Linked DNA regions of Arabidopsis thaliana. The protein of the gene in region 2 interacts with the protein of the main gene of each other region in a pairwise test. Each region holds a gene or a part of one and is shown on either strand. Other genes may lie near its edges.

What was found.
Region 1: the proteins of PGSIP7 (region 2) and AT1G65720 interact in a protein complementation assay, tested with the Arabidopsis thaliana proteins (one large-scale study listed by BioGRID).

The regions. Positions count from the first base shown.
Region 1 is NC_003070.9:24,439,025-24,442,799, reverse strand, and holds AT1G65720 (uncharacterized protein), read left to right. Parts: upstream 1-1,726; 5' UTR 1,727-1,786; coding exon 1,787-2,329; 3' UTR 2,330-3,148; downstream 3,149-3,775. Other genes in the region: YSL7 (YELLOW STRIPE like 7), read right to left, coding at 1-161.
Region 2 is NC_003071.7:15,010,105-15,016,221, forward strand, and holds PGSIP7 (Nucleotide-diphospho-sugar transferases superfamily protein), read right to left. Parts: upstream 4,181-6,117; 5' UTR 3,967-4,180; coding exon 3,623-3,966; coding exon of another isoform or gene 3,619-3,622; exon of another isoform or gene 2,148-3,618; coding exon of another isoform or gene 2,128-2,147; coding exon 1,667-2,127; intron 1,587-1,666; coding exon 1,439-1,586; coding exon of another isoform or gene 1,435-1,438; exon of another isoform or gene 1,362-1,434; coding exon 821-1,361; 3' UTR 603-820; downstream 1-602.

The DNA.
Region 1 (3,775 bases), on a different chromosome or scaffold from region 2:
ATGAAACTCACGATTAGAGCTCTGAACGTGAGCTGTTTTTGCCACGGCGGTGGGATTTCGTTACTCTCTTCGAAGATTCTCTCCACGGAGATTTCTTCTTCTTCGTTGGATTTAGATCCATTGTTTAGATCGTCGTCTTTCTTCGATCGTTCGACTTCCATAGCTGAGAGTTTTTGATTTGATTTGAGTCAGATCTGAGGAGGGGAACGAGAGAGGGAGAGATTTTATAGAGGAGAGGATCTGAAGAGAAGAGATCGGCGAGAGAAGAGGACGATTTTCTTGTAACTGAATGATTCTCTCTATTGTGTGAGTGAGAGAGAGAAGCGAATCTGTTTTAATATTTCTATATTTATAAGTCAAATGTGTTTTTTTTATAAATAATTAACCTACGTGCACGTGGACTATGGTGTGGTGTGTATACACAGTGTAAAATCTGAGTTTTTTCTTTGGTGTGGATTTAGAGTTAATTAAATTGATACGTAAATGGATTTTGGAATTTAGATTATGACATGTTTACGTGTTAAACGAGCCAATTATGACGGGTCGTAGATTGTATTAATCTTAACAGAATTAAGTTTTAGTTGCAAATGTGTTTTTTTGAAAAGAATTAAAATATTAAAATGAAAATACACGTAAATATTGTTTGAACATTTGATTTCAGAACAATAGTCGTTTATATAGTGAGTTGTTCTTCAAATTACTTTTAATTTCGGAGTACTTAACTATTAACCAATATTTTTTATAATTAAAGATTACAAGGGAATTTTACTTTTTCTACCACAATTTTCCCAAAAAAAAAATATTTCTATCGCTTTTCAATAGTACCAAATTATTTATGTGGAAAGACCAAAAAAAATAAAAACTATGTGTCCAAACGTTTACACCGATTTGACATTTTCATTTTTATGTTCTCTCACTACATTGTTAAAGACTCTAAACGTGAGCTGGCTTTGCCACGAAGGATGATCCTCATGGGCTCATGGCTGGCCTCAAAGATTCTATCATGTCATGTCGTGGCATTTGAGATCGTCATTTTTTTCCTTTATCGCTCTGTGACCGCTGCTAAATTTAAGTCTAACCTAGCTCTTTGTTTACAAGAAAGGAGAGGATTATTTTAAATAAGAGAAAAGTTGGAATATTCGAAAGTGTCGTGCTCTTATTCTATGGTACGAGACTATGAGTGACTAGATAGAATTTTCATTTAGATTCTCTAACCATAATAATTAGGTAAAAAAATCTTAGCTATTAATATTGACTAATAAATATAAAATGTGAAAGTTTGACTATACTATATTAATAAACAAATGGTTAACTTGATATTGACCATGAATGCATCATTAACTTGCTTAGAATAACAAAAATCTTATGAATTTATAACTACTAGAAGTTTGATTATATGCGAGGTGGGTTCAGACTATTCACATATTACACAAACTATTTGTGGTATTAGAACTTGTATAACTTGGACAAAATTCATATCAATTAACAATTAACCTATTGAAAATTAGATAAATAGAGAAATAAATCTATTGTTTGCTTATGTGAGTATAAATAATGAGATTTAGACTTAAAATAGTTAAGTCAAAATTAAATAATATTTTGGCACCTTTTATAAGAAAAGAAGATAAAAGGGACCTATATGATCAAATACAAAAGTAGAGGGGTTATTTCATAATAACACGTATCTTAGAAAATCTTTTTAATCTTCTTCGTTCACCGAATCTTCTTGGGTTAGGTTTGTCTTCAAAATCGTCAGAAGAAGAAGAAGAAGTCAAAGACGATAACAATGACGTCATCATCGTACCTCCGATTTGCGATCGCCGTCGTAGCTTTCCTCTCAATCACCACCATCACCACCGCACGTCCTTGCAAAACCTTCCTAATCTCCTCATATTCCCTCTCAATAACCCCAGAAAACCCTAACCTCGAATCCGATTTCACCTCCACACGATTCGTCACCGTTTTCACAATCCGTCGTCTAAATCCTCACCACGTGGTTCCTTTCTTCGTCAATCGTCGTCACGAGAAGCCACAGATCCAATCGGATCGTTCCCTCCCTTTGATCTCTGATAACATCAATTCGTTTAGAGATCGAACCAGAGATATTCTTAGCGTCGTCGTCGCGCTTTTGTTCGGTGTTGGTTGTGGTGCTTTAACCGCTGCTACTATGTATCTTGTTTGGGCTCTTGTTGTGAATCGTCAAAGCTATGATTTTGAGGAAGAAGAAGATGATTATGAGAATGATGAATCTGATGCTGCTAGCTTGAAGAAATTGGGTTATGTTAAGATTCCAGCTCCAGCTCCTGCTCCTGTGAAGGAAGCTGCTTGATTTGAGGTTGTGAATTTCAGTTTCTGCATATTATCATGATTTACGTTGTTGCTTATCTATGTTGTTGCGTACAAGTAAATTCGTCTCTGTTATGGATTTATCTAAACTTACTATACTCTAAGTATCAGTGTTTTTACGATTTGTAGTTGATGTTTCTTAGATATATATAAGTGTGATTATGATGTTACCTATGGATTTATTCATTATCTTTGATACCAATGTGACTAGTTTAGGAGCTTAATACTTAAATGGATTGATCATCAAAGGAACCAAGGTCGTGACTCGAGAAGTCTGTTTCTTGTTTTCTTTCTGACTTGCTAGAACCTAACTTGGTCGCAGGATATGTGTATGGTTCTCATAGCCCCATTTTGTGGTTTAATAGCTTTCATTCTTTCAAGCACTGATTAGCTAGAACCTAAGTAGGTCGCAGGATATGTGTCTGATTCTCGTTAACCAATCTGTGTTTTGAACAGCCTTCAAGCATTGGGAGTGTCTAGTTTTCTATTGCTTATGGTCATATGTGTGTATGGTTCTCATTGCCCCATTTTGTTGTTTAATAGCTTTCAAGCATTGCATACTTAAGGTAGTGTCTAGTTTCGGTTCCGTTTCTTGTAATCTTACTGACTAGCTAGTAGCTAGACTTTTTAAGTAGGTAGCAGGATATGGGGATGACTCTGGTTGACCCCAATCTGAGTTTTGCATAGCTTTCAGAGCATTGAGAGTGTCTAGGTTCTATTGCTTATGGTCATCTGTATATATGGTTCTTATTGCCCCATTTTGTGGTTTAATAGCTTTCAAGCATTGTGAACTTTAGGCAGTGTCTAGTTTCTGTTCTGTTTCTTGTTATATTTCTGACTACCTAGTAGGTAGACCCTTTTAAGTAGGTCGCAGGATATGTGGATGATTCTCATTGATACTAATTTCTGATTTGCATAGCTTTCAAAGCATTGAGAGTCTCTAGTTTCTATTGCTAATGGTCATCGTTGTGTATGTATATAGCTTAAAGGTTGATGTCTTGGATGCAGAGGAACAATTAAGTGCCTTATTCTCTCTAGTCTAGTAGTTATTTGCCTTGTAACAATCCTTTGTTATGTTACTATTTGATTTGAGGTTGTTTTATGTATGTAAAATCCAGTACCTAATTGTCTTGGTAATAGAATCTATAGATGTCTCAAAATCGGTCCGATTTTCGATTGTCAACACAAATGGTGCAAGATTTTGCTTTCTACATATATACTCTTTTCTTAAAAAACTACCTCAAAAGAACCTAATTGTCTTGGTACTCTTTTCTTAAAAAACTACATATATATTCAAAAAAACTACCTCAAAAGAAATTGTTTATCGTTTCTTTTTCAGTATTTTAGTTATCTGATAAAATAAAATAAAATTGTTTTTGGGTCCTCCACTATACATATGAAGAAACTTGCACATCACCATTCAGTTTGG
Region 2 (6,117 bases):
TTTATTACAATTTTAAAATGCAATAACACGTGATTGACCAATAAACCTAGCAATATATGGATCGTATATTGTAAAAATTTGGACTAGTTCGCTGATGGGTAGCCCAATGGGTGAAGTGGCCCAAAGAAAACTCGCCGTCTTATAATAAATGTCGCTATTTATTATACTTGGCGGCGATAACCTAATTCGAAAGCTGTGAAACTTGGAGAAATGGGTAAACAATTTGCTCTTAATATTCTTCGTCTACAGTTTTTCTAGTGAATGATTCATTATTTTGTTCAATATCTTTCTGTGATGAGTAGGTGCATACAAGTGTGTTTCGGAGCTATGGAGAAAGGTGGTTTCGTTATTAATCTTAAAATGTACTAACCCTAGAGAATATAGACTAGACTTTTCATCAAATTAGGAGTTTTCTATATGAAGCATACTATCACAAGTCTAGTAGGCAAGTTAATAATAATCCAAAGGAATCTCTATGGTCTCTACTTGTAATTTTATTCTAGCTACATCACAGCTTGACCTGGATCTAGGGGGCTTTTGTAACTAGAGAGGAAAAATCAAAGAGGGACACAAATAAAAAACAGAGAGAAAAACAGAGTGTGCTCAATTGTTTGTGTTCTTTAACTTTTCATGCTACAAATCTTTAAATCCAAGAGAGTGAGTTAAAAACAATAATGAAGAGTATGAAATCAGGCTACCGAAATTGATACTTTGACTAGGTAAAAGAAAGAAGGTTAGAGTGAGTTGATATAAATGTAATGTGAATGAAACAATAATAATCCTTTATATACAGAGAAACAATATGTCAAATAAAGACTCCCTAATACAATTTGCTGAAGCCTGAAGTGACCCCTGAGTCTCCCAATCGCGGGAACAACACCTCTTTCTCAATCAAAACCTGGAGGTGCGATGTGATTTTGCGGAATGAAACCCACACAAAGGGTGCGCAACAAAATGCGTATGCGAAAACTGACAAGGCTCTGACCACTCCATCAGGGTACCAAGGGAAGGCCATGACAAGGAGAGTGCCGAGAATTCCTAGCCATGGAGTGAGAACAGGGAGCGTTGGGAGGAGGAGAGTGTTGATTGAAATGGAAGAGAGAGCAAAAGAAGCCATCAAGTAGAGCGACCAGCCGATGAGTGGGTGGATAGTGTGAGGGATGGTGAAGAATGGGAAGATGTAGGCTGCAACTACAGAGAGAAGCGCGATCAACTTAAAACCAGCTTGGATCGTTGTTAAGTTGCGGTCAGAGCGGCGATAACATAGCTTGGTTATGTTAGGACGAGCTAGTCGTGTAACCACTATGATTCCAAGGTAAAACATTGCTTGGATTATAACCAAAGGCATTTCGGCTGAGTACCTATTGCAAGATCATTATTATTAGCCACTATACAGAGCTTAAGAGGGAGTTGTCATCATTTAAAAATTTAAAATTACCCTATAGTGGCGCGACGCTGCTCGTGCCATGAGAAACCTAGTGGAAGAACAGGCCATGACCACCAGTACCATGGCTTTAACCAAACAGCTCCCGGGAATGTAATCACACTGTTTGGTCCACAGGGTATGTTCCATCTTAGCTTAAGATCTGAGAGTACAAGTTAATACATTAGCCAACATTAATCATTATAGACAAAATCTTGAGAGAAGAATTAAGAGACTACTTACAGAAATAAGAAGCGTCCATTTGGTAGCCTAAGGGAAGTCTCAAGTGACCATTAAGTACAGATCCGTTACTCGGAGGACTAAAGAGAGGTTGGTCAAGAAGATCAGAGAAGTAACTGACAAGAAAACCTTGATCAGCTCCATCAGGATTCTTTCTTCCAACTTGTAGCTCATGGAGCATGTCCTTGAACACTTCCACTGATGGCTGCAACACGAAGAGACCAGTGTGGAAGATACAAGGGTTAATGAAGACCGCACAGAAGCGCCCACACTGGAACAACTCGTCGGCTTTCTTAAGAAAGAGGTTATCGGCATCTAGCATGACCACACGGTCGTAATCAGACAAAGCCCAAGCGTAGAGCTTGTTTAGAGTAAGCTTGAATCTACTGTTGAAGTTGGTCTGTCTCCTGTATGGATTATCCACATTTTCAACTCTCACCACTTTAGCTCCATCTTCCTCTTCCCTGCTCACAAAGAGGCTCATTAGTATTCACACACACAAACATCGTACAAACAAACTAGTTATGCATGCATGTTTTTTAGAATAAATATATTCTTATGAATCATATCAGAAAATGAAGTTCTTGTGTAAAGTCCTAATAATGTTGCTTTCAATTATTATAGGTTTATCTTTCTTATCGGATGTGCTCTAAAGGACACAAAAATTATTACTATAGGCTATGAGGTTGAGATGTAGACGTTATTGCATGATCTATGCAGCAGATTGGCCGGTCATAAATTAGTAATTTGACACAAAAAAACAGCTCTTTCTTGTTTCCAAAAGGTTTCAATCAAAACGCTAAAGTCAAACAACTCTCCTTAAGTTAATATGATTTCAATTCAATGTAATAAGATTATTGCTATCGATCGCTTTTAGTTGCCATATTCTTTATCTCTACGCCTGTTTCAACTTTTTTGGGTGCATAATGAATTGTTGACTTAATCTATGGTTTATTTCTAAATTTTTGAAAACTGGATTGTTTTGGTGGTTAATACCATCCGGACCACTTAGTTTTAGTCTAATCTGTCCATAGAAACTCAAATGATTAATTCACCTACATGCCTATTAAATATGTTTTTAAAAATTGTTGTTTAACTTATAAAAATACTAAACTAATCAAAAACTTAATATGAAAAAAACAAAAGAAGTTTTTCAAAACTAGATGACACCTAACGAGTTTTTGAGAATTGATTTTTTAAAACACAAATATATTTCTATACAGATAGGCGCGTTGTCATATACTATATAGGACCAATAGGAGAGGATATAATGGAGTTAAATGCGTTGGTCTAAGTGTCTGTCAACCATAAATACTCAAACATTTGTTTCTCTCCAACTTTTACTTACACCAAAATAGTAAGGTCAAAAAATGAACTCAAAAAATTCCATTTTAATTCGTGAAGCCAATCAAGAGAAAGAAAACGATAGAATAAAAAAAACTAATATGCTTTTGTCTCGATATTTTCTATGAATAAGGTGGTCGTTGTCTCATTCGAACAATTTTCTAAGCTAACTTCAATTTCTAAGAGAAAAAAGTGAATCAAGACTCAAGAGTCCAACCAGGGAAGGACGTAGAGGAAAGGGAAGGTGTATCTGTCTGTGCCACTGCCAACTATAACTTCTTAAAATATTTGTTTCTATAAGCTAAACTGAAATATATTTGTTTTCATATTAGCTTATATATTCAAGAATACAACTAGACAAGGACCAATTCTTATCTTTACTTTTTTCTTTCCCTTTGCTTAAATAAGTAATGTTGATATATATAGAAAAATACCATTTGAATTTGTTTTTAGAACTCCTGCTGTTTCACGCACGATGCCATTATAGTGAAAATTACGAATGTTTTGTAAAAAAATTTTTAAAAATTAATAGCAATTGTATATTCCAGCCTAATAATAGTTTGGTGGTCAAGTTTCGAAACGACAGCGTTTAAGATGGTCGGAAGAGAGACTTACAAGGTTTGAACCCATCGGAGAGGAACGTCGAGAGAAGCGATGACGACGAGATCAGCTTCCACGTGAAGACTTCTCAACGATCTGATCAAAACACGTGTCGCAACGTAGAACTCGTAGTCTCTTGGCGTCCCCATGTACATCATCGTTGCGTATGCGTTCTTATGCTCCGGTCGCCGCGTCTTCAAACCTCGATCTTGAACCGTCACCACCGCGTTTGCGGTATCTATCGCCGTTTCTTGCGGTGGTTGCAGCAGCAGCAGCTGTCTCTCTCGATACGCCGTCGTTTCGATTATCATAAAAGATAGAACCAAAGACAAGAACACAAAGCCTCTCTGCAAATCCATTCTTGATTTCTCTGTACAATGTCCGAATTGCTAAAACAAATCAAATGAAAAGAATTTATCTAGAATCTGAAACTTTTAAAGAATGTGTAAACGCATACGCGTATATATATATATACAGAGAATGTATCAAAGAGAAAGGGAGGTTTCTGGGAGACTGTGAAGGGTTAAAAAGGTATAATGGCGACTGGCCAATGACAACATTATTTTAACAATTAGAAGAAAACGAAAAAGTTGAGCATATATTCCTAGGTTGCTCTAATTTTACTTTAAACAAGTTAATTACTGTATTAGTTGCTAATGACTAAAACAAGTTAATTACTGTTAGTTTACATATTTCCAAAGCAAATCTAACACCGTTCATTTTTCTTTCATATTGATCGAATTCTACATTCTTATTTGTTTCCAAAAAAATTTGAAAATATAAAAGATTTTGATTCCAGATTTTTAAGGGTTTAAAAGAGAAATCTTTTAGTCACATTTTTTGGACTAAGAGAGATTTGTAACGCTGTTAGTTTGTAACGCACTAAAAGATGATGAATTAAGGTCTGCTTAATTTTTAAAATATTAATAAATTAAAAGGGGAGTTATGAAAGTAACCGTATTTTTATTTTATGTATTTTGTTGGCAGCTAATATTATGGAAATGGTCAATTTAGGACCATGTGACTGAGCCCGTTGTTCTCTTGGCAAGTGGTGTCTGGTGTGTAATCTCATCCCAGTTCATTATTTTTTATATTTCCACTACATATTTCTTTAATTCTTTTACTAATCTCCACCAAAATTCAAAGTCAAATCTGTCAAGAAACTAACATTGTGTGTTAAAAAGGTAAAATATATTGCATATTGGACGATCAGTGGATTGAAATACTGGAAATGAGAGGAATTGAAATAGGATTAGTAAATTTAATAATTAGAGTAATTAAGAGGAGAACTTTTTTCCTGTATCTCTTAAACTGGAAAAAAATTCCAACAAAAGTGAATGGAAAATCCGAAAATAAGGAAAAAATTATACTATACTGTATAGAAATACTCAGATTGGACCAAGAATAGTGAGAAAATACACAAATTTCTTGTACAGATGTTTTGAGTCACATCCACAAGACTGTACGGTAAGAAGCCCTATATTAGTCAGAGGAGAGAGGAGGAAAGTAATGTTCTTACGTTTGATTCACAATTACTTAGCAAAATACAAAGTACAATATGCATAATAGTATAATTTTATTGGAAAGATCGTTTCAGACACTAGAATTATACCTAACTACATTAACTGTTATCGTTTTCTAATAGTCGTCCTTGTCACGTTGGTTTTGTACCACTTATTTTGAGGTTAACAGGAAAATAAAATTCATTGTATGTTTTAGGCAGATATCCAACGTTGACTGTACGTACCCAAATATGCACATTTATGGAGTAATACATAACAACCCATCTTGTATTTTTTTATTAAGTATATGGCAATATGGATATTTATATTGTACAACATATCAAGATTACGTGTTGTATCATTTCATCATGCAATAGGCTGTATTATATTTCCTCTATCCCATTTTCTTAAAAACGTTTTGGCTAAAATCACAAAGATTAAGAAACAACAAGTATTTTCTCATTTATAAAAAATCAACCAATATAACAAATTAAAATACTGCACATTTTAAATAGTTATAAACTACTAAATTATAAATAAAAACTAGGAACAAAACTAATAAATGGAACAAAAAACATCTTTATCGTATATTAGAACAGAAATTTGGGGGAAGAAAGTAGAGAAAAGGGAAAGAGGAAGGAAAGGGTCGAGTAAACGTTGACTGATTAAACAAGACACGACTCCTCTTATCTTGTGTTGAAACCGCGTCGGTCCAAATTGTCTGAAATTGTCTTTTAGATGCTTACGGATCCAACCAAGTGTCTCCTTTTTCTGTTGACTTCTACTTATGTACATTTTTGTTTTATTGTTTAAAGACCATGTTGACATTATTTCTTTTTATTAAGTATCGAAAGGTTGCTAGTTGCTACAATGAGTTTCATGAGCCAATCTTTGCGATTGCGATGATGAAAAACAGGAGTACCTACTATTTCAAGGCTTCAATAAAACACAACTTAATCGAAATCTTCATATGACAAAAGTTAACTCTTACAATTAAATGCAAACTTG